Notamacropus eugenii: one gene and its partner. The protein of the gene in region 1 interacts with the protein of each later gene in a pairwise test. Links are inferred from orthologs where the notes say so. Each region holds a gene or a part of one and is shown on either strand. Other genes may lie near its edges. The genes, in order: TROAP and DYRK1B.

The links.
Region 2: the proteins of TROAP (region 1) and DYRK1B interact in binary tests that used the Homo sapiens proteins (3 or more experiments, as listed by UniProt). The link is inferred for Notamacropus eugenii from reciprocal best matches to the Homo sapiens genes TROAP and DYRK1B.

Annotation. Positions count from the first base shown.
Region 1 is NC_092874.1:221,290,080-221,300,318, reverse strand, and holds the start of TROAP (tastin), read right to left. Parts: upstream 3,959-10,239; 5' UTR 3,793-3,958; coding exon 3,646-3,792; intron 3,509-3,645; coding exon 3,325-3,508; intron 3,089-3,324; coding exon 2,952-3,088; intron 1,938-2,951; coding exon 1,864-1,937; intron 1,469-1,863; coding exon 1,416-1,468; intron 348-1,415; coding exon 253-347; intron 1-252. Other genes in the region: PRPH (peripherin), read right to left, coding at 8,657-8,725, 8,906-8,985, 9,834-9,883, 10,176-10,239. UniProt on the Homo sapiens protein: Could be involved with bystin and trophinin in a cell adhesion molecule complex that mediates an initial attachment of the blastocyst to uterine epithelial cells at the time of the embryo implantation.
Region 2 is NC_092876.1:32,309,552-32,320,367, reverse strand, and holds the start of DYRK1B (dual specificity tyrosine-phosphorylation-regulated kinase 1B), read left to right. Parts: upstream 1-6,234; 5' UTR 6,235-6,305; coding exon of another isoform or gene 6,306-6,339; 5' UTR 6,340-6,648; coding exon 6,649-6,724; intron 6,725-7,140; coding exon 7,141-7,310; intron 7,311-8,010; coding exon 8,011-8,130; intron 8,131-8,220; coding exon 8,221-8,409; intron 8,410-8,673; coding exon 8,674-8,821; intron 8,822-8,937; coding exon 8,938-9,224; intron 9,225-9,337; coding exon 9,338-9,484; intron 9,485-9,578; coding exon 9,579-9,719; intron 9,720-9,966; coding exon 9,967-10,285; intron 10,286-10,583; coding exon 10,584-10,690; intron 10,691-10,816. Other genes in the region: FBL (rRNA 2'-O-methyltransferase fibrillarin), read left to right, coding at 1,257-1,266, 2,058-2,210, 2,312-2,428, 2,604-2,698, 3,173-3,343, 3,663-3,795, 4,296-4,408, 4,492-4,637 and 1 more.

The DNA of each region.
Region 1 (10,239 bases):
TTAGGAAGGTCTGGATCTGTTCTGTTTCAGACCAGACCTCTGAACCATGTAATACCCTTCTGAATATATTGATACTACCCTACCCACCTGTTCTTATCCTCAGTGCTACCTGCTACTGGGGGATTCTCTCAAAGGCTGGAACTTCCTATCTCCCCCATTCCCAAATATCCTCTATCTCCACTCTCTAAGGTCCTCTCTGGACGCTGATCTCACCATGGGGAGAGGGGCACCATGTATTCCTTTACGTTGTACCTGCTGAGCGAGACTGTGAGTTTCCAGTCTACTTTGGGAACCATTCAGCACTGTGGAGAAGGCAGGGATTTTCGGCTCTCCTGGGGGTTGGTGAGCTATATAAAGGATAACGCTCGTTCAAACATTTGTTATATGCAATATACTGTGCTAGATACCATGGAGGTGAAAGCAAATAAAACAAAGAAAGGTTAGATCATACACTCAAATGAGAATGATAAGTCTAACAGAGGGGCATAAAGTCCTATGAGGCCAGATAGTGGGAGAAATCACTTCTGGCTAGGGACTGGAGAATCAGGGAAGGCTTTGTAGGGTTGGTCCTATTTGAGCTGAATCTGGAAAGATGAGCAAGACATTAGGGGGGAGAACAGCACGATCAGAAGATTAACTGATTCAACAAATATTTACTGAACACCAACAACAGGTTCAACCCTGTGAGCTGAAAATGTCAATTTAACCAGCAGAACATAAGCTTCTTGAGAGCAGTGCTTTTTCATTTTGTCTTTCCATCCCCCTTCCCCCTAACTCCCCTCCTTGCCCTAGAGGTCTGGCATAGTGCTTTGCACATAGTAAGTGCTTAATAAATGCTAACTGGATTGGAATTGGTATTTAATGTATACCTGTGTTAAGGTTATGAGGCAACTAGGTGGTCAAATGGATAGAGTGCCAGGCCTGAAGTCAGAAAGACTCATCTTCCTGAGTTCAAATCTGGTCTCAGACACATATTAGTTGTGTGACCCTAGGCAAATCACTAAACCCCGTTTGCCTTAGTTTCCTCATCTGTAAAATGAGCTGGAGAAGGAAATGGCAAACCACTCCAGTATATTTGCCAAGAAACTCCTAAATGGGATCTGGAAGAGTCAGACATGACTGAAGAGTAACCTGTTAAGACTATGTATAGGCAAAATTTCAGAAGTAGCTTGCTAAATTGGGGACCGTTATTTTCCTGAGGGGTGGGGAGATGAGTGATAGTGATAATCACATCCACTTGGTAGGGTAGGAAACTTTCAGATGGTACCTATGGAAAACTGTACTTGAGGGCAGAAAGAATGTTAGTTAGAAAGAGGCATCCCCATGATCATGTACTCTCTAGTTTATACCTCTTGGCTCCAAGCTTTGATAATTCCATTCTACTTCTGTAATAAGTTATCTCATTTTCACCTCACCTGGTAGCCTTGTTCTTGCCCAGGACTGTCCTGAATCACTGCCCATCTGGGTCCTGATATCAGAGGGAACAGGAGTGTTGAATTATGCTCCACCTGTCAACTCAGGACTATCCCCCTGTGAAGTACAACTATTGACATAGTCCAGTGCACCCCAGGACCACTTGGAATGGTGGGGATTTCTGATGACACATCAGCAAGATCCTGGGTTACTAGTGATCCCTGCTCTGGAAGGTCAGGAAGGGTCTGAGGAAGCTAACACCATGGTGAAAGCTCTGTTATATTGAACTAGGTTTTTTATATTCCCCCTCCCTCAAGTTCTTCTGTTTATTTGAGTGTTAAGGCCAGGGGTAGCCTCATACGTTAGGTCATTTCTTTTCAGTGAGGTATCCGATCATGCCCCTGTACCTACTGTGGAACAAGCCCCTCTGAACCCAGACCCACTCCTTACTGGCTGATGATGTTTCTTTCTGTTGACTCTTGATTGCTATGACTGAATCTGGTATGACGTCCTGGGGTCTGGACCTAAAGCAGAATAGTAAAGGGTAAGAGTGCAATCCACCATCTACCTCTAAGTCTCATCTCAAACTCCACTGCAACTCTTCACACCCATTCCTTTCAGTACAACAATCCAACATTTACAAAGTCTTTACTATGCACAAAGTGCTGTGGATACAAAGGAAAAATAAAAACAGGCCTTGATCTTAAGAGTGGGTTTGGGGGCAGGTGAGAAGAAGGTTGTACAGAATATGGGCCTTAGCTGAAGGCTTTTAAAAGGCACCCATGAGGAAGGAAGATATTCCATGTAAGATGGATTGTAGGTACAGCAATCTTTACCACTATCCCTCTCTAGATGAACTGCATCTCCTTGAGGCCTTGCTGTCCCCCCACCCTCCATGACTACAGAGCCAGGAATAATTTTATTTTATCCTACTTACTACCTCTTACATCCTGAAGATCTAGCATAGTCCCTTGAACATAGAAGGTATTTAATACATGCTGATTGGAACCTGGTACCATTATTGAGTGCTTATTAAGGCTCCAGAGTAGGGGTTCTTAACTTGGGATCCATGAGCTATCAACAGGTCCATGAATAGATTTCAGGGGGTCCATGAACTTGGATGGGGAAAAATATTACACTTTTATTTCAATAGAACTGGGTTTTTTGGTAATCTTATGTATTTTATTTTAGACATTTTAAATCATTATTCTAAAAGGGGCTTCACCAGACTGCCAAAGGGATCTGTAACAAAGAAAAAGCTCAGGAACTTTTGCTTTGGAGCCTGAGACCTGATTGTTTTGGGCCACCAGAACTGTGGAAATTCCTTGAACTTGAAGATGTTGGGGAATGCATGATCTGGCCCACAGGCCCTATTTCAATCATGAAAACCCAGAAAACTGAACAGAATCCATTATGTCTGTAGAGATCTTAAGGACCCCAGAGAAAGGTTTCATAGTCTGAGAACAGAACCAGCTGCTGTTAACACAAGGCTAGAGACCTTTTTTTCTACCCAGATATCCCTTATTCCCTCTACTCACCTGTCTCCCACAGAGGGCACCTTTTTGATTTTGGTTTCCCCGGATCAACACTCTTTGGGCCAGACCACTCTGGCAGCTGTAACCACTACTAGTCACCTCCATACTTGACAGCATAGTGGCCAAATCTCCAGGGTCCACTGAAGGAAGAAAGGTGATAGAAAGGAGTGACAGTAAGTGAAAGGTAGAAGGGAGAAAGTATATTGCCTCTAGGTGAAACTAGTCCCACACTACCATCATAGGGATGCCCAAGGACAGAACCTCCAGGCACTTAGTCTTGCTTCTCTCCTAGTCGACTTCACTTTGGCCCCTTCTATTCCATCTAAGTCGTGGTTAACGGCCAAGAGAGCTGTATTTCTTGACCTTAAAGCAGTACCTGGCCTAGGTGGAGGATCAGCCTCCACATTTTGCCCCACAGAGGCAGGGCTGATGTCCTCCAGTGGGGCCCGGGGTCGAAGATTTCCCTTCCGGCCCGAAGTCTGCTGTTTCAGCTTGTGTCTAGGGCTGACTAGGTCTTTCTGGAGAAGCTGAGCACCAAACTTCTTCTGCATCATCATCCCCTAGGGGAAAGGAGAGAACAGAAATTTGGGGTTCAGTGTGAGCGCTGGGAAGAAATTGGAACCTCTCTGCACCTCCATTCCTTCCCTCCCCGCTCCACCCCAGCCCCCCGCAGGGGACCAGCCTGGCTCTAGCTCACCTTGGGATCCCGATTCTCTTGGCCGGAGGCTTGGTCCTCCCCACCAGAAAGAAGCAGGCATTTCCGGGCCAACACGGGAATCCTGCTGGGGGTGGAGAAGGCAGTTTGCAGGGGAGTGTCCATCAGATCCCCACTGGTAGTCGTCATGACCACTCCTGGGGTGGGGAAGGACCAAGGTCCCGGCCTTCTGCTCCCCCTTCCCCCTGTCCACAACACAGCCCAAAAGCCCGCACCAACGCCACGCTCCCTGCTCCTTCCCAGCCCAGCGGCCAACTAGGGCAACCCACTTCTTTTCAGTTTGTAAAATACTCATTCAGAGCTTCTGATTGGCCCGTCCGCTCCCTCGTACGGAGCGTGGACTGGAACCCTGGCGTCCAATCCACCGACAGTAGGCGTGCCCCGTCTGATGGGCAGGGAAGGGGGCGGAGCGCTCGTCTCTGCTCCCCCTCCCCTTTTCCTCCTTCCCCACTCTGAGAGGATGGGCGGCACCCCACCACAGATCCTGGGGTGGCAGGAGGGGAGGAGAAGGAGCTGCCTGGGCAGGGAGTCGAAGTGGGAAGAAAGCGGTAGGGATAAGTCCCCTGAGATCCCGCTGCCGGGAGAGGGGATGAGCCCTCGGGAGGTGGGGGGAGGGGGGGATATTGACAGGTCGGACCTGACGTCATCCCTGGCGGAGACATTTTGAAAGGTCGGTGGACTTCTGCGGGGGGCGGTGCGGGTATGCCACTCAGTCCCTCTCCTGCTCTTAAGCTTTCTACGGCTCCCCATGGCTCACCAAATAAAGTCCATCTGGTATCTCTTTTTAGTGAGACGCTTCATGACGTGGTATAAACACCTGGACTTTGACTCGGTGCGCGCTTGTAATCCACCTTCCCAAGGGAGCTCTCCAAACCTCAGTGCCCTCAGCTATAGCTATCCCATTTTGCACCCTCCCCCTCAAGGAAGGTGGTAATCAGGTGAATGGATTCGATTTATCCTGGCCTTCCAGCATGTTTCTCTCACAGTTTTCCCTCAGGAACTCTTTATTTACTCTGTCCCCTATCGCTTTCCATTAAAACCCTATCTTACCCTGCCCATCTCAAATACCACTTTGTTGAAGCCTTCCCTGAAGTTCCCATAGCTGCATCTTACATTGCCGCTCGTTCAGACCTCTCTTATACGCTTACGACCACGTATTATTTCTAGTTAGAGCAGCAGTCATTGCATTTGCAATATTGTTGGGTTTTTTAAAAATTTCTGTGAGGACCAGAAAGCCACACAAGTTTCCACAGTTTCCAAAAAAATTTGTGACTCTCCCAGTTCTGTCTAGGACTTAGAGAGGACAAGATAGCTGTATCGTCCCAAGTGCGTTCTGAATTTTGTTGTTTAGTCGAGTCTGACTCTTTGTGACCCTCTTTGGGGTTTTCTTGGTAGAGATAATGGAGTGGTTTGCCATTTCCTTCTCCAGCTCGTTTGACAGATGAGAAAACCGAAGCAGACATGGATAAGTGACTTACTTGCTCAGGATCATACCGCTAGTTATCTGAGGTCAGATTTAAATTCAAATCTTCCTGACTGCAATGCTCTATCCACTGTACCACCTAGCTGCCCTTGCATTCTGGATAAAATGATACTAGCATTCATGACATTTAACACAAATAGCTCTCTCTGTCCCTGTTTTATCTCCACTAGTAGACCATAACTCTTTACATATTCTTTGTAAAACTCTCCAACAATTCCTATCATAGTATGCATATAATATGCACTCAAATATTTGTTGAATGGATAAATGAATGATGGTTCCATTGAGGGTAGTTGGTTGAGCCCGTTGTCTGAAAAACCTGGGACAAGGTGACAACTTCACAACCTCAGGGAGGAAAAGGGTGGGAAAGAGTTGAGAGTTGAGGGGGAAAGGGCAGCTGAGGGAGGTCCATATTTTCACTTCTGCAGGGGGACTGTGTCTTGGAGAATCAATCAAGCAACATTTATTAAATGCCTATTAAGGGTGCTAGAGATACAAAGAAAGGCAAAAGAGCTCAAGGAGCTCACAAACTAGCAGGGAGAAGACAACATATAAAAAGAAGCTGAAAGGGGGGATGGGGAGAGGGTCCCTCATAGAAGGGAATAATGAGATGACTGCACTGGGCCCCCTCCTTAACTGGAGATCTGGGATGGGGTGGGGAAGAGCTGTCTACTGTCCACCTTCCAGACTGTCCAATAAGAGGGAGGGAGGGGTCCCAAGGCCAGAGGGTACTCAAGAGGAGTGAGTTTCCAAGTAGATTCAGTCATGCTGCAAGATGAATTACTGTGAAAACAGTAAGAACAGTGTAAGAGGAAAGGGACTGAGAAGTTAGACCACTTGTAAGTGATGAGAATAAGTAGCACCGGACTCTCCCTCCTCAAAGATCCTACAGGGCAGGGAAAACAAGTTGGGCTGTCCAAGAGAAGGGTTGCCCTCCTCAAAGATGCCCATGGATGGGGGCCATGGTTTGGAGTTTCTAGCAAAGGGCAGAGGTTTATTTTGGTGTCCTGTCCTTTTCTGAGAAGAGTCAGGGTCATTCTTTAGGTCTATAGAAAGTAATTGAAGAAGATTGATTAGATTCTCCTGTTCATGTTACTTTATACATTTATTGGCAATTTCCCTCTAAATGAGTGATTTTGAATAAACTAACCATTAAAGGGGGAGAAAGATTCAGGTCACATTTGTAAAACTTATAGATTTTAGAGGTTTATTGAAAGATATTTTTCGTAGCTAGGAGAGGTCTCAGGACTGATGGGGATGAGATCGTTTTCTGGTCTGTGTCTCAAGTTGTTTCTTCACCAGCTACCCCAAGACTGTAGGGGCTTTTCACTTCAGATCACCTGAAAAGAATTGGGATAATAGCTCCCCCAGGTGCTAGTGGGGAAGGGCTGGATATTAAGCCCTGGGGTCTCTGAGAAGTTTACCAGATGACTTTCTGGAACAGCAGAGTTCTGCTATCTCAAATCAGTTTGGTGATGGTGGTTTGAGTAGACTAGGTACCAACGCATCTCCCAAAATGGCTCACAAGTTTTTCCATATTTTACAAAAATGGCTCCATTTTTGTCCATATAAAAGATGATTAAATTTTTCTGGTTCCCAGGTATCCTATGGCAGCGATTGGTTAAATGGGATGGTGAGAGTGGGATGGGGATGCAACCTTCTTCTGACTCCTTAGGAGGCAAACTATGTTATCAACAGGAACTAGGTTGCTACAAAAATTTATTTTGCCGGCTGAGATGAGCATTATTACAACTTAAGAAAGAGGGAGGGATCTCCCTACAAACACAATAGTGATCTTTTCGTAGGTAAGTAGAAAACAAAGTACAGAGTTCTCATATCACCCAAATTCGACTTTACTAAAGAATTCTGAAAGAAATCTGCATTCCCAAAAAACACGCATGTTAACTTTGTTGTGATCTCTTTCCACTCCTGCCCCTCTAGGCAGCCTCACCACCCCCTACCCCCTACCAAAAAAAAAACCAAACTCATGGGAAAGATTACCTCACCTCCTTGAAGTGAGGTGAGAAAGGTAACATTTGCCCCACTCCACCCACCTGCCAGGTGTCTGGACACCCACAATGCATCCTCAGCATCAGCTAAAGAGGTGACCCACAGTTGGATTATTACATTACTTGGGATTTGGGGTTTGGTGGGTACTAGGCCCTAAGCACATGTGTCCCTGTGTACGACTGTCTTCCCCTGTCTTTGTCCACATCCAGCTCCAATGTGTCTGGTTTGCACCTCACCCCTACTTCGTCCCAGTTAGGCCAGGCCCTGCTCCGTGTTCCTCTTCCTGCTCTCCCTTCTCTGTCCTTGAATTGTATGCTGCCTCCTTCCCTCCAAGAAGTGGGGTTGTGTGTTGGGGTGGAGGTGCAGCCTTCTTTCAGGCAAATTCGCATGATGTAAAAATCATTTTTTTACACAGAGATCTGCAGAATGTCCACTGAGAACTTCCAGTATACTAAACAATTTTTCTTGCTATTAACTAACTTGACCCCCTGCTCTGGGAAATTGCCTTGGGGTTTGCTTCTAGAGGAAGGACAATAGAACCTTGACTTTAAGGAGTTACAGCTGTGCTTTTGGATTCTTTATATGAAAGAGCTGACTAGATTATGACTGTGGTGGAAGGATCTTTCACAAGTCTTCTAATATTTAGGAGAAAAAAGCCTCAGTTTACGAGTGCCCCTACCTATGTGTGTCTGTGTTCTCTAGTAAGCTGTTTTTACCTGTTTATATTCACAGAGTAACATGGGCATTTGTAGTGGCAAAAAAACGTAAACAGGAAACATCAGTGTTAAGAGTATATAGCTACTGAGAATAGACGTCATGGAAGGCATTGCCGAAGTTGACCTTTTGTTGTCCCTGGCACAGGGTTCTTTGATGGCATTCCCCTTCCCCATGTTGTAGTGGTGTGACCACATTAAAGGTCAGTCCTATGGCCCTTGAGAGCATTGTCTGGCCTGGTGATGACCCTAGAATCGAGTCAGCCTGGGGTGGGGATAGAGCACATGATCGATCGCTCTGCAGGGTTGTAGTAGTGAAGTAGTCTAAAGCCCTGTCCCACCATCCTATCCCATATCAGGCTCTGAGCCAAGGTTTCTTTTGATGGTAACTTTGTTTTATTTATGATAAAAGCAAAATGCAGAGATTTAGCAGAGATGGGGGAAGGGATCCTGGACGGCATATACTCCCAGGTTGCAGGGTAGGGGGAGTTCCCATTGGTGGGAAGGGGACGCAATTAGGATGGATGCTAGGCCACACATATGCAAAAGGGCCAGAAGAAGCCACACTCATGTTGTGGAAGGAGGAGGTCCTATGTCAGGAGAATTGGAGAATGCATCCACAGCACCAGCTAAAGGGGTGACCCACAGGTGGGTCATTACATTACTTGGGATTTGGGGTTTGGTGGGAACTAGGCCCCAAGCACCATGCAGGGTGTAGGGGCCAGTTCAGACCCCTGATATGGAAGTTTAGGGAGAGGGTAGTAGGCATCTTTGGTTCATTAAAGGCTTAGTAGCTGTGAGTGGAAGACTTATCTAGTTCACTCCGCTGTTCCTTATGGGATTCTGTCACCACCTGCTGGAAAGGATAGGTTTAGTGGGGGTTGAAGTCTGTTGGCCTCAAACCCTCCCCATTATGAAAACTGAGGTTTACCTTTCCCTAACATCTGTCCATCACCCCTACCTCCCTGTTGTGGCTCACAGAAATAAAGAACAAAGCTAAAGGCTTCCTGATGGCTCTCAGGTACTTCCCACTTACCTCCCCATCTCGAGTTTCGATGGTCTTGATCACAACCATCTTTCGGCTGTGGGTGTCCGAGGGAAGTTCAGGCTCAGGCACTTAGGAGAGGAGAATATGGGAGGGGAGAACAGGGAAAGGAGATACTCATCATAACAATAATTTACACGTTTTATATAGTTTCACAGCATTTTAAGGTTTATGGCATTTTGTAGATATACTCATTTGAGCCACATAAAAAGTCTGAAGTACTTGGTGCAAGTATAATTATTTCCATTTTACAAGTTAGGAAACTGAGGATTAGTCATGAGAGACCTAGGTTTGTACCTCAGTTTTGCTTCTGGCTAGTTATGTTACCCTGAGAAAGTCACTTAATCCCTTTCAGTTTCCTTAGTTTCCTCATCTGGAATCTAGAGTTTATAACACCTGTACTCCTTACCTCAGGGTATTATTAAGAAAGGGCTTTCTAAAGCTTAAAATATCATAGAAATAAGAGTTATTAAGTGACTGGCCCAAGATCATGTAGTCACTGGCTGAACTGGGACTTGAGCCTGAGGCCCTTCCAAATCAGAAGTTTGCTAATGAGTGGAGGCTGTGAAGGGCCCAGGTGTGGAGAGGAGAGACTCAGATCTCTTGCCTCCTTGGAGAAATACGGAATAGAAGTTATTCTGGGTTATAAAACAGAGCTGGGATAGGGGACTTAACAGGGATAGGTAGGAAAGACAGCATGGCGTAGTTGAGGGAGCCTGGGATTTGAAGTCAATGGATCTAGACTTGACTCCTTGTTCTATTCCTTATTGATCTTGGGCAAATTACTTCCTGTCTATGAGGGATTTCAGTCCCTTATGACTAAATCCTGTCATCCAATGAGGTAGGAAAATGAAGGCATCTAGAGGTGGAGAAGGTGGTCTGAGTGCAGCCAATGTGTGTGTCTATGTCTGCCACTCACCAGATGTTTTCACGCTGAAGGAGGCAAAGGAGTGAATTGGCACAGAGATCCTGGGGAAAGGGTGAGGGCAGTGTGATCAGAGATGGGGCATTCTTCCACCTGTCTAGTCTCTCAACATCTTCAACCCCTTCTTTTCTCTAGTCCTTTGGCAACTCCTCTCCATCTTCCCTCATTCCGTCCTTCCTTCCCTCTTTGCTTCCTTCCTTCCCTCCCATCTTCACTAACTACCATCCTCTACCCAAGCCTGCTCCCTCTTCCCATTCCCCCAGATTTTCCATCCTCCTTTTCCTTTCCTGCCGTGTCTATCCCCAGCTTCCCCACCTTACACTCCACTACTCCTACCTGCTCTCCTCTCCCTCCAGCAGCTTCCGGTAGGTGGCAATCTCAATGTCCAGGGCCATCTTGA
Region 2 (10,816 bases), on another chromosome or scaffold:
GTGCTCCATATAGAAGTTTAATTTTTGCCTCCTAAAAACTAAATTTTTAATTTTCCTCCATTTTTTCTATGTTCAAGAAACTAGATGATTACAGTCCATAGAATAACTCAGAAGGGGGGGAGTGAAAGCGGAACCATAGAAATGGATTATTTTTTAATATGCTGAACAAGATCTCCTTTCATCCCCTACATCGGTGGTGCTCAAAAAGACTCCTCAAGATTGCCCAGGACCCCTTAGGTCAGGGGGATCCATGAGGCCAAAACCATGTTTTATACCCAGAGGCTATCTGCCTGTTCAAAAACCTGCCCCTTTTCCAACTAGGTATCTGGGTAAATACACCTCATATACTTCCACCAGAATGAAATAGCTAGACAGACTGAAGCTGACAGATCCAGAAATACCGCAAATATGTCACCATACACTTTCTTTTGACATCAAGCTTTTCCCCGGACCCCTCCCACCTGACGCCAGGGGCCTGCCCCTCCCCCCACCTTTCAGCTTCCTTCGCCGCGCGGCCCCTCCCCCTCAGGTGGGAGCTCCCGGAGGGCAGGGCCGGCCTCCGTTCCGGCTCCTCAGCGCCTGGTGCCCAGGAGGATCGTGGAATAACGTGTGTTTCTCACCAAACTTTGAGGAGCGCCGCCCTGCTGGAACCAGAGGAGGAAGAACAGAGACAGGTAGCGAGAGAAACCGCCGCCTCGCGGCCTCCCCAGGCACTGCGGCAGGAGGCCGCCGCCACCTTCACGAGGCCACGAGTCACTTCCGGACCCATTCTCGACGTCTCCTAGGAGACAAAAGCATCTGTTCAAAACTACACTTCCCGACAGGGCACCCCGGCCTCCTGGCGCCCTCGTGACGTCATGACGCCCTACGTGGCCCTCCCCGCCTTCTCGATCCCGGAAATGCTGCGGCCCCGGCCTGGGACTTCGTAGGACTACTTTTCCCAGGATTCCACCGTCCCTTGCGAGGTGACGTAAGGGACAACCGGGGAGGCGGGGACAAGAGAAAGGTACCGGGTAAACCTAGACTGCGCAGGCGAGAGAAGACCCGTCTCGGAGCTTTCGCGTTCCTGCCTGCGTGCGTGCTGCGTGCGTGCTTACGTACGTAACCCGGCGCCGGGCACGCCAATCCCCTCTTGCTTCCCTTGCGGGCTGTAACCGGGGGTGTTGGAGGCCCGGTGGCCGCGTGTCTGCTGGCGGCCGCCGTGCGGGGCGACCCCGCTGCTGCTTCCGCTTCCTGCGCAGAGCGAGCCGCGTGCCATGAAGCCAGGTGAGCGCGGGGCCGGGCTGGGGAGGACTGGCGGGCCCAGACTGGGGCCGGGCTGGGGAGGACTGGCGGGCCCAGACTGGGGCCGGGCTGGGGAGGACTGGCGGGCCCAGACTGGGGCCGGGCTGGGGAGGACTGGCGGGCCCAGACTGGGGCCGGGCCAGGGCTTGCGCGCCTCAGTTGACTCGCCGGTAGCCGGAGGCCCGCGGACCGTGGCGCCTTCTCCGCTCTCTCGCTTTCCAGCCCTCCTCGCCCCCGGCGCGGAGGGGCGGCTCTGGTACGGTCCCCGTTTTACCGGCGAGGAAACTGAGGCAGGCAGCCTGGGGTAGCAGCTGGGAAGGGTCTGGGGCCGGATTGGAGCTCGAGCCGCGCACTCCCGCGTCCTGCCCGCAGCTTTCGCGAGGCCCGAGGCCGGGTTTGGTGGGCCTGCCCGATCGGGCCGGGACCCTCCCCCTGGAGCCAGGCTGGGATGGCTGTCACCGCGGGGGTGGGAGGGGCTGGGCCCTTCCTCGGAGCTGCTCCGGGGAGAGGAGGGAAGGGCCTCCAGCCTCAGCACCCCCACCCCTCCCTGGGCCTCCCGGGTTCCTCCGTAGGGGACGGCGGGCTTCTCTGTCTCATCTCCCAGATGCACTGACAGCAGTTTGGGGCGTGATAAAGGGTCTCCCGTGCTGTGGGGCTGTCCCCCTCCCCCCATTCCCATGAACGTGAACGTGGAGCTTCCTCGTCACCTGGGGTCCGGGTGAGCTGGCAAGCGGCCGAAGAAGTTTCTGGCTAACTTATTTTTTTGCCCGCAGGATTCAGCCCCCGAGGGGGGGGCCGGGGGGGGTTCGGAGGTCGTGGCAGAGGTGGTGACCGAGGGGGCCGAGGAGGCTTCGGGGGCCGAGGAGGCTTCGGGGGCCGTGGCCGGGGCGGCTTTGGAGATCGCGGTGGCCGAGGAGGTGGCCGAGGTGAGTTGAGGTCGCCGGCTCACGGGGGTGGAGGGAAGGAGCACTTCCTCCGGGATCTATGTTGGACTGTCCAGCCAGCAAGGAATCTTTGCCTCCCGCAGGAGGGTTCCAGTCCCCTGGGGGTCGGGGCAGAGGCACCCCCCGGGGTCGAGGCCGGGGTGGCAGAGGAGGTTTCCAAGGAGGAAAGAAGGTCACTGTGGAGCCTCATCGACATGAGGGTGAGTGAGGACATGTCCAGTGCCACTTTTCTTAGCAAAGAAAGTGGCAAAACGGCCATTGTGCAGTTTTGTTTTCTTTGTTACCAGTTTTCCTCGTTTCAGAGACAGGGGATGCCTGGTAGAGAAGAAGGGGGTGCCCATGAGTCACATTGGCCCCTCTTTTTTTTTTTTTCAGGAGTTTTTATTTGTCGAGGGAAAGAAGATGCTCTGGTCACAAAGAACATGGTACCCGGGGAGTCAGTCTATGGTGAGAAGAGAATCACTGTGGAGGTGAGGATGGGACCTTGTGGTGGGAGGGGATGTGGGACAGGCTCCCATTTCAGTCAGTCATGAAGTATTTACTGAGTCCTTGCTCACAAAACAGTCTAGTGGGAAAGGTGACATGGCAGTTATCATATAGAAACAAGTCATATACAGTACAGAATAAATTAGAGATGATCCCTGAGGGAGACAGTATAGAGGGGCATTGAGAAAGGCTTCTTGTAGAAAATGGAATTTCAGGTTTGAAGGAAGCCAGGGCAGGTAGGAGATAGAGGAGGTAGGGAGAGCCTTCCAGTTCTGGGGGAGCATGTCACCAGTGAAAATGCCAAAGTTGGGAGACGGAGCATCCCGCAGATCAGCAAGGCCACCATTGTCGCTGAATCCCAAGTTATGTTGGGAAAGGGAGTAAGGTATAGGACATAGGGAAGGTAGTGGAGGGCCAGAGTATGAAGAGTTGACTCTTGATTTCCTCCACCCTTTCAGGATGGTGAGGCGAAGTTGGAATACCGTGCTTGGAACCCCTTCCGATCAAAACTGGCTGCAGCCATCCTAGGTGGAGTGGATCAGATCCATATCCGACCTGGGGCCAAAGTACTCTACTTGGGAGCAGCATCTGGCACTACTGTCTCACATGTCTCTGACATTGTGGGCCCTGTGAGTCTGGGGGAACCCTTCTCCACTTTCACAAATAGAATAAGAATAGGGAGGGCCTGCTGCCACCTCCTAACTGCTTAAATACAAAACCCAAAGAGCTAGCGGTGAGGTACATTGAAGAGATTCTTCACCTGCTACTGAACTCTGAACAAAGGGGTTTGAGGGCAGGAAGTATGGCACAGAATGATACCTGCTGATTTTTGCATGGCTCCTGCTGCTCCCCAGGTCGCAGGTGCTCTGAGTCTTAGGAGGAAGGGCTTGGTGGTGGGTTCTTGATCATGTGACAGGTGAGGACAGTGAGCTCTCCTCTGCCCCTCAGGAAGGTCTGGTCTACGCTGTTGAGTTTTCTCATCGATCTGGCCGAGACCTCATCAACGTGGCCAAGAAGAGGACAAACATCATTCCTGTCATTGAGGATGCGCGACACCCCCACAAATACCGAATGCTCATTGGTGAAGGCCTGGGGCATCCCTACCTCCATAGACAGGGCTGTGGGGCGGAAATGATCTGTGCTGTGGCTAGAGAAGGCAACCAAGTTGGGGCTGGAAGGTCCTGAATTCAAATGCCACCTTAGATAAGCTGTGTAACCCTGGGCAAATCACTTAATCTGCAGGGGACTTGATTTCCTCGGCTGTTTAAAAAAAGATTTTTGTCAAGCTTTTTGCAAACTTTAAGGCGCTATGTAAATGCTATTATTATTTATTAGAAAGGAGTGTGATTTTAATTTCTGGGAGGCAGCTGGCCTCTGAATTTGGCCTTTATCCTGTGGACCATGGGGAACGGAAGAAGGTTTCGGCTAAGTCAGGGATTGGTGTGTTCAGAGCCATCCCATGAGATTGGATTGGCAGTCTGCAGGGGGGAGTAGAGGGCTAAGAGATGAGATGGGACACAGGGATGAGCCTGACGACTCTGTGCCAACTGTGGCTGGTGCCCTTCCTTCCTCTGCCTCCAGGGATGGTGGATGTGATTTTTGCTGATGTGGCCCAGCCAGACCAGTCCCGAATTGTGGCTCTCAATGCACACAACTTCCTGCGCAACGGTGGACACTTTGTGATCTCCATTAAGGTAAAGTTCCCTGGCCAAATTCAGAAGTGAGGGGAGGAGGCCTGGCCATAGGTTTGTGTCCTCATGACCACCACCTCTCCCAGGCCAACTGCATAGACTCCACAGCCTCCCCTGAAGCTGTGTTTGCCTCAGAAGTCAAGAAGATGCAGCAGGAAAACATGAAGCCACAGGAACAGCTCACCTTGGAGCCCTATGAGCGAGATCACGCAGTGGTGGTGGGTGTGTACAGGTAAGCCTTGGGAGGATCCCCATTGTGCTGGGGGTAAGGGGTGCCTGGGCCCAGCAGGGGCCCCATTTGGGGGGGGGGGGTGCTCCTGGGCACAGCAGGGGTCCTGTTGCTCTAGGGATGGCGGGGGGGGGGGGCGTGGTTCCTGGACACAGCAGGGGTCCTATTGCTCTGGGGATGGGGGGGGTGGGGTCCCTGGGCACAGCAGGGTTTCTTGGGGGTTATCGGGGTGCTGCCTGGGCTCTGACGTCTCCTTTCTCCTCACAGGCCTCCCCCCAAGCAGAAGGAAGTAGCTGCCAAGTAGCTGTTGCTTCTCCCGTCCCCGCCCCGCCTTCCTCTTTTTCTACTGTTTTGTGTCAGATCTTTGTATTTTCTATTAAAAGGTGTGACCCCATGTGACTCCTGGATTCTCAAAGGGTTAAAGGGGGGCGGTGGAAGGACGGCCAGGCTGCGCGCCTGCGCACTGAGGCGAGCCGCCGCTGTTCGCCCTGTGGTTACCCGCGGAGGTCGGGCGTCGACCTCTGCGACGCATGCTTCGTCTTGCTGCCTTCTGCGCGCTCGGGGCGGGCCCCAACTTAGATGTCGCGCATGTCTCTTGTATAGCTGGCGCAGGCGCACGGAGTGGCGGCCCGGTGCCTGAGTCACGTGTCGAGGGAGGATGGGAGGGGGCAGGGGGCGGAGTCCGGGCCGGGGGGGCCGGTTTGTTGTGGTCGCCATTTTGCTGGTTGCATTACTGGGTAATTGGGGACCCCGGGCCGCTGCCGATCTGACTGGAGCAGCCCGCCCGCGCCGCCACCGCCAGCCTTCCCGCGCGGGGATGAGCCCGGGGCGCTGAGCCGCCGCCGCCTGCCCCGCGCGTTCCGCTCCGCCCCTCCCCCTACGGCCCGGCACCCCCCGCCCACAGGTAACGGCCGCGCGCGCGCCCGCCGGGGCTGGGGGAGGGGAGGGGGCGCGTGCCCGTCCGCTCTAGCCCATCCGTCCTCCGGCGCGCCGCCCTCCACCCCCGCGCCGAACGTTAGCCCCGGGGAGGGGGTCGGGGGGAGCACGGGACGACCGTTAGGGCCGCCCCTCCCTGGGCGGCGGGGTGGGGCGGAGCGGGTGGGGGGGCGCGCTGTCCCGGGCCCGGCGGGGTGGGGGAGGGGCGCCGGACCAGGTGCCCGGGGGGAGGGGAGCGGAGGGGGCGGGGCCGCTATTTATAGCTGGGTTCCTGGAAGGGGCCGGCCCCGGGGGAGCGCGGCGCGGGCCGGGGCGGGGCCGGGCAGCCGGGCCGGGGGCGGAGCCGCGGCCTCTCCGGCCCCCTCCCCCTGCCCCCCTCCCTCCCCTTTCCTTCGCTCTCCCGCTCTTTGTTTGGGCAAGAGCCGGCGCGGGCCCCCACCCGCCGCATCGCGGTCGCTTGGCAACAGCGGGCCGGCTCCCCGCCATTGGCCGACTCGCCGAGCCCCTCGGGCCAATGGCAGGCCTGTTGCCATGGCAGGGGTCATGTTGCAGCCGCCTCGTGTGCGCCGCGGGGAGCGGGAGCCCGAGCCCGGGAGGCGGGAGGCGGGGCGGGGCGGGGCGGGAGCCGGAGCGGGCGCCCCTCGAGCTCAGCACCTCCTCCCCCTCCCCCGCCGGGGGGGAGCCAGGGGAGGGGGGGCCCGGGCCGGGCCGGCCGGGCCGGGCTGCTGGGGTGCTATGGGCGTCGGAGGAGAGGCTTCTCTGGCCCCCGGTGCGACCCCAGGGTTGATTAGCAGATAGGCCAGGCTGGAAGTGGGGGGGAGGCCTGTCCCAGTCCCAGCCCAGCAGCTGTAGGGTTAACCCCATCCTCCCTTCCCCCTCTCCCCCCTTCCACCTGCTCAGTTGCCCCCCCTCTAGGCAACCTCGGCTGACCCCCCTCCCCCCTCCCAGCGGCTGCTGCTGTCACCCAGCGGACAGGACAGGACAGGGCCGGGCAGGGACTGGGGGGGCCTCCCCTCCCTCAGACGGGTCACCCTTCCACCTCCGTGTCCCCTCGGGGCTCCCACCCTCCCTGCCCGAGATGCTGACTGCCCGACTGCCAGACTGGGGACCCCGCCGGCCACCTGCCCATGGCTCCCGACAGCCCCCCAGCGTGGGTATGAGAGGGGGGGGGGGGTGCCGAGTGGGGGCTCACCAGCCCCCTTTCTCACGTGGGTGTAACTCGGGGCACTCCCTGGTGTCAGATGAGAACTCCCCCATATCCAAATGCCTTCCCTTTGTGCTCCCCCCCTCCCATGGAGAGTGGCTATCAGCTGGGGAGGAGTGGGTATGAGACTGGGAGAGTTCCAGCCTCTCCTCTGTTGTTGGGGGCATGGGGGAAGGGCTGTCACAGGCTCCTGACCGGCTCTGCTCTGGCCCTTCATTGTTACTGGTCTCTTTCACCCCATCCCTAATTAGCTGCCTTTGCCCTTTTCTCTGTCTGTCTGTCCTGGCTCCGTGATACTCTGGCCTGCCCCCTCCCTTCCGTGGTGCCCGTCCCCCACATCCCATCTCCTCTACTCCCTCCCTCCAGGTCCCGGCGGTGCTGGTGGCAGCAGCTGTGGTGCAGGATGCGAGAAGTCGCCCCCCAGCCGGGCTCCTGCTCCGGGCCTTCCTTCCCTTCGGCCCTCTGAGCCGGACATGGCCGCCCCTCCCAGCCATGGTCCTTTCTCCGGCTTTCCAGCCCCCCAGGAGCATACACAGGTAGCACCTAATCTAGCTCCTGGTGAAAGGTGGAACCCTGGATTGAGTTTCTGGCAGGGGGGAGGGGGCAAAAGGACAGGCCTTAGGGAAAAACGTGAAATTGAAGGGTCTGGTGTTGAATCATCCATGAGCTGTAAGATCTAGAAAGTGCAGATGGACAGTTGAAGGATCTGGGTCAGGAAAAGGAGATCCTAGTTTAGGATCTGAGGGTTACAGACTTAGAGCTGACCCGAACTTTTGAGGTCATCTCCTGCTCATTTTACAGATGAGGCAGCTGAGGCCTAAAGAGAGGTTAAGCCTTCTTTCCAGGGTCACACTGGGAGGAAGTAGCTGAGCTGGGATTTGGGCCCAGGTCCTCAGACTCCATCCAAATCCAGCTCCCTTCCATAGTATCATAGTCCCTGCCCCAACTTTGGCCATCAGACACTCCAAGGGTCTGTGGGGAAATTGTTCAAGGTTAAAGGTTAAAAGACAAAGTGTGGCAGGGAGGTAGAACTGGACTGATAGTTGGCTGGTCAGCTGTGCAATCCTGAGAAAGTTATTGAGAGAGCTTCAGTTTTCCTTTTTGTAAAATGGGGGTAACAGTTGTCGTACCTAGAGCACAAGGTTCTGTAGGACAATGGAACTGTGAGCGTGGGAGGGTTGGAAAGGGAGGTCAGGGGTTGAAGCCTGGCCCCTTACATGTCCTTCCCCCTCCTAGGTGGTGCCAGATGTCAGGCTGCTACAGCGACGGCTCCCGCTGGCCTTTCGGGATGCCACCTCCGCCCCACTACGAAAGCTCTCTGTGGACCTTATCAAGACCTACAAGCACATTAATGAGGTGGGCTGGACCCTGGGCAGGAGCTGGGACTGAGCTGGGCAGTGACTCCCAATATCTCTTCTTACCATCCTCTACATTCTCTGTTCCCAGGTGTACTACGCCAAGAAGAAGCGTCGGGCCCAGCAGGGACCCCCAGAGGATGCGAGCACAAAGAAAGAGAGGAAGGTTCTGAATCACGGCTATGATGACGACAACCATGACTACATTGTGCGAAGCGGGGAACGGTGGCTGGAGCGATACGAGATCGATTCACTCATCGGGAAGGGCTCCTTCGGGCAGGTGGGAATCAGAATGAGTGAGACACCTCAGGGAGAGGTAGGCTTCCATCCTCTGAAAGCCAGAGAAGGTGACTTTCCTCTCCTGCACCCCACATCCCGAGACCTATGTGCAAGCCTGAGTTTTCTCGGCTGCCTCTCAAGTCGTACTATTGATGCCTGAGCTAGAACATTGCCTGACTATGTCTCTTCCCCTTGGGATCCATCCTGGGGCCGAGAGACCTGCTAATTCCCATCCATCCCCATTGATCCCCACTGTCGCTCCCAGGTGGTGAAGGCCTATGACCACCAGGCCCAGGAGCTGGTGGCCATCAAGATCATTAAGAACAAGAAGGCATTTCTGAACCAGGCACAGATTGAGCTGCGGCTGCTCGAGCTGATGAACCAGCACGACACGGAGATGAAGTACTACATCGGTGAGGCCTGGGAGCAAGGCAGGCGGCGGGTGGCCAGCCATGGGAGGTGGGCACAGAGTGGAGCTGGAGGCTGAGGTCCAAGCTGCCACCGCATGTCCCTGCGCCTTCTCCTCCAGTGCATTTAAAACGACACTTCATGTTCCGGAACCACCTGTGTCTGGTCTTCGAGCTCCTCTCCTACAATCTGTACGACCTTCTGCGCAACACACACTTCCGGGGAGTCTCACTGAACCTGACCCGGAAGCTGGCGCAGCAGCTCTGCACAGCCCTGCTCTTCTTGGCCACGCCTGAGCTCAGCATCATCCACTGCGACCTCAAGCCCGAGAACATCCTGCTGTGCAACCCCAAGCGCAGCGCCATCAAGATCGTCGACTTCGGCAGCTCCTGTCAGCTGGGCCAGCGGGTACATGGCGGCCATGGGCCACTCACCCTGGGGGAACCATCTCCCAATCTGGGCTGGGGGCAGGCAACCACAAGGTACCCAGGAGGCCCTGACCAAGCCTCCTTTCTCCCCAGATCTATCAGTACATCCAAAGCCGCTTCTATCGCTCCCCTGAGGTGCTTCTGGGGACACCGTACGATCTGGCCATTGACATGTGGTCTTTAGGCTGTATTCTTGTGGAGATGCACACAGGAGAGCCCCTCTTCAGTGGTTCTAATGAGGTGAGGCTCAGACTGGGAGAATCAAAGAGGCAGGCCCAGGGACAGCCAGTGGAGGGTGGTGAGCCTGACTGCTCTGTCCTGCCCTTTGGCCCAGGTGGACCAGATGAACAGGATTGTGGAAGTGTTGGGACTGCCCCCAGCTCCCATGCTGGAGCAAGCTCCCAAAGCTAGGAAGTACTTTGACAGGTTGCCTGGAGGGGGCTGGACCCTCCGGAGGAGCAAAGACCTCAGGAAGGTGAGCCGCTCTGCTCTTATGTGCCTGCCACCGCCCCTCTAAACCCCATCTAAAGTGCCTTCCTCCTGGGTGGCTTGTCTGCAGTCACTTCCCCAATATCCTTTTCTGCTCCTTCCATCCTTCCTTCCCTTCTCCCTGTTTTTCTCCGATCCATCTTTCCTCGCTGTCGTTACAGTTAGGAATTCTTTTATTCCTGTCCCATTCTCCTCCATGTTCCCCCTCCCATGACGCCTCTCCTCTTTCCTAGGAGTACCAAGGCCCCGGCACACGGCGGCTGCAGGAGGTGCTGGGTGTGCAGACGGGCGGCCCCGGGGGCCGGCGGGCAGGTGAGCCAGGCCATAGCACAGCCGACTACCTCCGCTTCCAGGACCTGGTGCTGCGCATGCTGGAGTATGAGCCGGCCGCCCGCATCAGCCCCCTGGGTGCCCTGCAGCATGGTTTCTTCCGTCGAACTGCCGATGAGGCGACCAACACAGGGCCCTCGGGGAGCAGCACATCCACCTCACCTTCTCCAGCCCCTGACGCCTCCCACTCCTCCAGCGCGGCCAGCTCTGTCTCCAGCTCTGGTGCGGGGGACTTCGGGGACTACCCCCTGAGTGGGACTGGGGGAGAGAACTTGGCCCCTGGGACTGCCATAGAGGCACATGTGCCCAGGGCATAAGCACTCGATGCCTACGTGAAGCAGGAGAAAATCTCTCTGAATCTCATTTTTGCTCTTGTAGAAACTGTAATCTCACAACCACTCCATACCTCAGTCCTGGGAATCTATGGTCTCTGACCTTAAACCAAAGGGTCACTCTCCTTTCCCCTTGGGCTCTTGGAAGGGTTAAAGGAGATCTTTTGCTAACTTGTTTCCTACCTTAGGTGGCTCAAGCGGATCATCCAATGACAACCGGAGCTACCGCTACAGCAACCGGTACTGTGGGGGCCCAGGGCCTCCAGTGACAGACTGTGAGATGCACAGCCCCCAGGTATGGGCCTGGGGACACAAGGGGAGGGAGCTCCTTCCAGACCCCTGCAGCCTATGTGAACCATCCTCCTAGAGGCTGGTGCCTGCTTGACGTGGTTGATCGTACCCCATGCCTTTCTTCCTGGCA